Macaca mulatta: one gene and its partner. The protein of the gene in region 2 interacts with the protein of the main gene of each other region in a pairwise test. Links are inferred from orthologs where the notes say so. Each region holds a gene or a part of one and is shown on either strand. Other genes may lie near its edges.

Region 1 (3,653 bases), on a different chromosome or scaffold from region 2:
CATGCCAATGGTCACTAAACACCTTAAATGCCACTCTTAACAGTATTCTTTCAGTCCTCATTCCATAAAAATTTCTTAACATGTTACTTTAGATGGATTCCTTTACCTCAGGGGTTTCTCAAAGACTTATTTGAAGGACTGTTTAAAAAAATCAGATTGTTAGGTCCCATTTCCAGAATCTGATTCTTTAAGTCTGACGTGGGGTTTCAGAATATGTATTTTCATAATTTCCCAGGTTTCAGAATATACATTTTCATAATTTCCCAGGTGATACTGATTCTGTGCATCTGGGGATCATGCTTTATCTTAAAACTCCAAACTCTTGGCTTCTGAGACACTATACATTCCTCTGGTTCTCCTTGAAAGCCTCAGATCAATCCTTTCCAGACGACATTGACTTCAAATACCAGTTTTAAGACATAAGAAAAACAAAGTCATAGTTTCCTCGTCATAGACGTGATGAATTTTCTGATTAGCAAATGAACACTAAATAAAAATAGTCATCATCATAACCATAAGTACTGAGATGCTCTCCATTAATTATATTTTATTGTCTAATGCCAATCTTCTCTTTTAATTCATTTCACTAAAGTCTTAAATAAATCTTTTGAAGTAGCAGAACAGGAAAATTACCAGGCTGAATATCTGAAAGAATATTAATATAACATACTTAACACCAATTTTATTAGTAGTAATCAGAAACTATGCTAGACACATAGCAATCTGATTCAAAGCCACATTTAGGCTTATTTGCGGAACCGTGCAGACTTTACATCAAAATTTCGCCTCATAGTCTCCACCTTCAGTATTGTTTACGTTATAGTCTCATATTTTCTATGACCCAGATTTCCATCTTATTTTCACTGTATTATTATTTTTTCACATGTCTCCTTATTTTAAACCACTGCAAAACCTTCACCAGAGACGTTAAAGCTTAGGTTGTGGAAGAGTGTATAATAGCCCTCCTAAATATCTGTCCTCCCCTTCTTCCTGGGCACATGGCTGCTTAGCTAAAAGCTAAGTTTTCTAGCCTCCTTTGTGTAGCTAGTTGTGGCCATGTGACTAAATTCTCAGCAACTGAACCCAAATGAAGGAGGTGAGCAGAACTTCTAAATCATTAGCTTTAAAAAAGAACTGTTCTTTCGACTTTTTCCAAGTTAAAATGTGAAATGGGGGCAGCATACCCCTAACTCTGCAGAGAAGGTTAACACGCTAGGGCAATGCTTCTCAAAGTATGGTCCAACAGTATCGATACCACCTGGAAATTTAGAAATGTAAATTTTCAGACTACAACCCAGACTTACTAATTCAAATTCTTCAGGTAAGGCCAAACAATTTGTGTTTTTAACCATTGTAGAATATGATAGTCTAGGAAGTCACTAAGATAAAGGAACCCATCAAGAGTAGTAAATGTTAGGTTTTCATTGAATAAGGACCGAAATCATTCTACTGGCTGTGGCGTTTAAGATGGTTAGTAACCTTTGGCATAGTGGGAATAATTTTTCTTTTTTTTTTGAGACAGGATCTCGCTCTTTCGCACAGTCTAGAGTGCAATGGCGCCATCACAGCTCACTGCAGTCTTGACCTCCTGGGCTCAGGTTCTCCCATCTCAGCCTCCTGAGTAGCTGGGGCTACAGGCGTGCACCACCACACCCAGCTAATTATTATTATTATTTTTGTATTTTTAGTAGGGAGCGGGTTTCATCATGTTGCCCAGGCTGGTCTTGAACTTCTGGACTCAAGCAATTGCCAGCCTCAGCCTCCCAAAGTGCTGGGATTATGGGCATGAGCCACTGTGCCCAGCCAGAAGAAATTTTTAAAAAGTCCTCTACGTCATTCTAATACACACTGAATTTTGAGAACCTCTGCCTTAGGGGATGGCAATATGCCCTGCCCTAGACCAAAAAGACTGTTATTTCAAGAAAAAAACTTAAAATTCAAGCCATTGTAACCTAGCATTCACCCTAATACAATGGTTAATGGAAGAGACTCTGTAATCAAAACTGCATGGATTCAAATTCTGGCTTCACTATTCAGCAACTGTTGAACTTGGGCAAGTCACTTCACCTCTTCATTTCCTTAGTTATATAAACTTATGTAACAAAAACAGTAAGAACCCTTATAAGATAAGACTGTCATAAAAATTGAGATTGTAAACATAAATTGTATTGACAGTAAGCAATCAAAGAACATTAGCTATTACAATTATTATTGAAATGGGTGAGATATGAAATGCAAAAAATTCATTGCTCCATGATATTTTCTATCTCTGAAAATAAAAATGATACTTTAAGATGAAAATAAACTACTAGCTGAAAAACATGCAATCCCAGGTCCTTTTTTTAGTGTTTAAGAAATTATGGCCCATCCCCAAACTATACCCTAGCAGTCCCTTTGTCCTCTAGAAACTAAGTATCATCTACTACTGACTCACCACACATATCTTGTTTCCAGTCATCTCTCCTGTTGTTTTCCCCAACCGAAACCTCATTTATCAATGTTCATCTGTAGAACTTAAAGAGTTAAATGTGTATAAGTCCTCACAAAGCCTAAGTCTATGATCTGGGAACAGTTGTCTCAAAATTCTTTATATTACTGTTCAAGTTCTGTAAGTATAATATAAAACTAAGCTAGAAAAGAGCTTTTTCTTTTACCTGGAAAGATTCCCTATTTTTTCGCTGTCGTCTCCTTTCTCTTAGCAAACTCTTCTGTTTTTCTTCTTCTTCCTCCTTTTCTAAAGCCCGAATGTGTTCTTCAAAGCAAATTAATGCATCTTCTTTGTCCATATCTAAAGTATTTGCCAGTTAAAATTTAAAGTGTCAAATGTCAACAAGTAGTTTATTTGCATTAGATCCCCCAAAATTTCAAAATCACCTGTCAAAAATACTTTTAGCTAGGCTAGGGTGAGGTGGCTCATGCCTGTAATCTCAACACTTTGGAAGGCTGAGGTGGGAGGACTGCTTGAGCCCAGGAGTTCAAGACTAGCCTAGGCAACACAGCAAGACCCCGTCTCTAAACAAACAAACAAACAAACTTGTATTTAAACTCAATATGATTTGTAATCATCTGCATAGGAAAGTTTTAAGGAAAATTTCACAAAGAACTCAATAAAAGGCACTCTGAAACATGTCATAGGATAAAACAAAGGACGTGCATATGGCAAAACTAATGAAAATAAAAGTGTTATGATAAAATCTGTTTGCAATATCATAATTATTCCAAGAGCTTAGTATAGAACTGTGCACCCTATAAAAAAAATCTACTGAAGCATGACTTTTAGAGAGGTAGCTGAGAAAGCTATAATTTAAAAAGCAATTGGTTAACTCAGAAAGAATACTTAGGGAAGCCTAATGTAAGATAATTCTAATACATTTTCTTTTTTTTACAAATCTGTAATGTTATTACCACAAAAAAACACGAGTAAAATGCGGTAATTCATTTAGTTCTTACCAAGTTACATACAAATGGCTAAGCATGATTTCAAATTTGACCTATAATTTAAATATTTCAAGTATTACCTGATAAAGCTACTTTAAATTTGAAAAAACATTTTGTCATGAATCACAAACTCAATCAGAAAGAAATATCCTATTCGGAAATAAATAAAACACTTTTTCAGAAATGAACCAACAACTGCATAAAATTCAGTTAGT
Region 2 (3,653 bases):
TCCCTTCTGTAAACCTTTTTTTGGCCTATATACTTTTCCATGCTTTTTAAGAATACTGTTTTGTTTACTTTGTGTAACTTTCAAATTTTCTTTTTGAGACGGAGTCTCGCTCTGTCGCCCAGACTGGAGTGCAGTGGCGCGATCTTAGCTCACTGCAACCTCTGCCTCCCGGGTTCAAGCAATTCTCCTGCCACAGCCTCTCAAGTAGCTGAGACTACAAGCGCGTACCATCATGCCCAGCTAATTTTTTGTATTTTTAGTAGAGACGGGGTTTCACTGTGTTAGCCAGGATGGTCTTGATCTCCTGACTACGTGATCCGCCGTCGGCCTCCCAAAGTGCTGGGATTACAGGCGTGAGCCACCGCACCCGGCCAACTTTTGAATTTTCAAACATACAAACATAGAATGTGTTTCATGTAAAATTAAATTTTTAAAAAGAACCATGGCCAGGCGCTGTGGCTCATGCCTGTAATCTCAGCACTTTGGGAGGCCGAGGTGGGCGGATCACGAGGTCAGGGGATCGAGACCACCCTGGCTAACACGGTGAAACCCCATCTCTACTAAAAACACAAAAAGTTAGCTGGGCGTGGTGGCATGTACCTGTAGTCCTAGTTACCAGGGAGGCTGAGGCAGAATTGCTTGAACCCGGGAAGCAGAGGTTACAGTGAGCTGAGATTGTGCCACTGCATTCCAGCCTGGGCAACAGAGCAAGACTCCGTCTCAAAAAAAAAAAAAAAAAAAAAAAAAAACCAAAGGGCCCTGAAATTATATATGGCAACATGTTAGGGCAACACTGATTGTTAAAAAAAGAATGCTATATTTTTATCTATTTTTGTGTGTGTATGTACTTGAATAGGATTCATAAAGCATTTTTAAAAATGTATAATCCTGGGACCCAACCCTAGAAATGGATTCAATAAGCAGCTCAAAGGTGGGGACCAGGATTCTCATTATCAACAAGCTCCCCAGGTGATTCTGCTGCAGGTGATCCATGGACCATACTTGAGACATGTTGTATCAGGGCTGGCGTCTGACTTCAGGCCTGCCACCTGGCCTTTGAGCCCCTGGTACAAGAAGTTTGTCAGAAGGATGTCAAGTTCCTTGGATGGATGCTATGCCTCACCCACTTCCACAAGGACCTCTGCTTATCTTTTGTCCATGCCAAATTGGACCATCCCCGGATATGCACTGTTGAGAACTGCCTTCAAGCCAAGGCCCACCCCTCAGGGAACTGGGGAAAGAAAGAAGAGCAGACCCAGGTTTGCCTGGGGTAGGGGTAGGGAATATTGAGCCCAGACAGCCCGACCCACTACCCTGGCCCTTGATCCCACCTGTTCCCGGGCAGCACTGAACATGGGCTCCTGGATGTCCGTGTACATGCGGCGGAGGGCATTATATCCTCCAGGGATGCTCTCAAGGTTGCTCAGGGCCCGATCCTGGTTCCGCATCATTTCTTGCATCATGGCTGGATTCCGAGCAAGCTCCATTGTCTGATCAAGGGAGAGAGACAAGATGGGCCCCAGAACCAGGGGAGCACCAACCTAGGAAAAGGGTGGGCCTTGAGGAAGTGGGTCTGTGTCAGGATCAGGACCAGGGCCCAGGAACTGCCCCACAGTGACAGAAAGTAGAATAAACTGGACTTCCTTCCTCTACTGTAATCTTGGCTCCAGGCCTGCCTCCCTGTGGGTATTTTGGTTGGCTTTTTCTAGCGGAGGACAATGATCCCAGCTGAAGTGAGGGCAGCAGCTTCCCTCCCTTAGGCTCAGAGTGTCCAAAGAAGTGTCAGGATGCACAAGGAAACTGAGTCAGAAGGGACACAGAAAGAAAGGGAAGGAAGCAGAAGAGAAAATTAACATCTACTGAGCACCTACTGTATATGGGCACAGGGCCAAGTAGTTTACAGAATTCAAGTCATATAATCTCCACAATAACCATCTCAGGTGGTTATTTCTGTCCCTATTTTGCAGATGAGCAAACAGGCTCAGAGATGTTAACTGACTTGCTGCCCTGGGACACACAGTCACTGAGTGGTGAAGACAGTGTTCAAAGCCAGGTTGGTCGGTCTGTCCAAGACCATACTGTGATTCCTGGTAAATGACTGCAAGTTGGGGAAGGAAAGGATTCAGGCTGGAATAAAGCTACTGACACCCTCTAATTCCCACCTCCAAGTCTTTGGCCTGCCTGAACCTTGAGAAACACTGAGGATGGGGGCTTTCTTCTATGGAGTCAATGGCACAATCTCAATAAGGGGTGGCTATGTCAACCCCAGGGGAGTTCATCACAGAAAAATGAGTGTAACTACTTGTTCGCATTCAACTTGGAATACATTTCCTCTCCTTCCCAAATCTGCTCCACACTTGCCTTTTCTAAGACACCTTTATAACTGATATGCCCAGCTTCCTAGAACTCTGATCTCTTGTCCTGTAATTCATTCATTCAATAAAAATTTACTGCGTGACTACTATGCACCAGGCACTGTTCTAGACAGTGAACAAAACACTCACAAGTCCTTGACCTTACATAAGTTATCTTCTGGTGAGTCCAACACTGGTGTCCACAGCCCTGCTGGGAAGATCGTCTACTCTGATCCTCTGGTAGAGTGGACCATGAGCTGGAACTCCCAAAGAGCAACATCACAACAGTCTCCCTTCCCAACTGGGCCCTGCCCAGCCACAGTGCTCCCCAAACAACCTACTATCTTTCACTCCCAGGCCTTTATATTTGCTGTCCCTTGGCCCTGAATGCTCTTCTCTTTTTTCCCCCGGTTCGTCTTCCTCCTTTGGGTCTCAGCTTGGTGACATCTCTTAAGGCCTCCTCTAAGCCTCAGGGTAGGGCCAGGAGCTCTTCTCTATGCCCCTAGAGGATTCCCTGATTATCCTTATGATAGCACTGACCACATTGTATTCTAATTGCTGGTTTACTTGTCCCACTTCCCTTTGACACCTGGAATTCCTGAAGAGCTAGGCCTGTCTTTTCATCCCTGTACCTCCAGTGTTCAAAACTGCTGAATACATGAATGAACAAATCAATGTATGGAAAGGCTGGGCAGGGCATGGCTGGGCACCAGCGTCCTCCAGCTCTCTAGCCCTCTCATACTCACCTGCCTCATGAGTTCAGGGTTGTTGAGCATGTGGCTGATCTCAGGGTTCCGCTCCATCAGCTGCTGCATCTGGGGGTTGGCCATGATCATGTGACGCATCAGGTCAGGGTTAGACATCATATCCTGGACCAGGGGGTTCTCCATGATCTGCGACAGCATCTCAGGATTGGACATCAGCTGCCTCTGCATCTGCTGCTGCAGCTCCATGAAGTTGGCAGAGCCCAGGCCCAGGCTGCCCAGCCCCAGGATGCCCCCAAAGCCAGCTGTGGGAGGGGGGCAGGGTCACAGTCTGCCACAAGATCCCTGTCCTCACTTAGCCAGAGCCACTGAATTTGGATCTCCAGGACAGGCCCCAAATGCTTCTCACATGTTCCTCTTCCAATCATTCCCACAGCCCAGCCCTGATCCACTGCTGGCAAAAAAATGTGAGCCTACTAGACTGAGGCCTCTCTGAAGGCTGAGGCTGCACCAAACATAGAACTGAGCAGAGAGAAGGCAACCAGCAATGGTCTGTTGAATGAGTGGCCCATCTGGCTACTGCTGGATCTAACTT

Evidence for each region.
Region 1: the proteins of UBQLN4 (region 2) and PRPF40A interact in a two-hybrid assay, tested with the Homo sapiens proteins (2 studies listed by BioGRID and IntAct). The link is inferred for Macaca mulatta from reciprocal best matches to the Homo sapiens genes UBQLN4 and PRPF40A.

The regions. Positions count from the first base shown.
Region 1 is NC_133417.1:57,579,000-57,582,652, forward strand, and holds part of PRPF40A (pre-mRNA-processing factor 40 homolog A), read right to left. Parts: intron 2,789-3,653; coding exon 2,655-2,788; intron 1-2,654.
Region 2 is NC_133406.1:110,886,162-110,889,814, reverse strand, and holds part of UBQLN4 (ubiquilin-4), read right to left. Parts: intron 3,364-3,653; coding exon 3,101-3,363; intron 1,491-3,100; coding exon 1,332-1,490; intron 1-1,331. UniProt on the Homo sapiens protein: Regulator of protein degradation that mediates the proteasomal targeting of misfolded, mislocalized or accumulated proteins.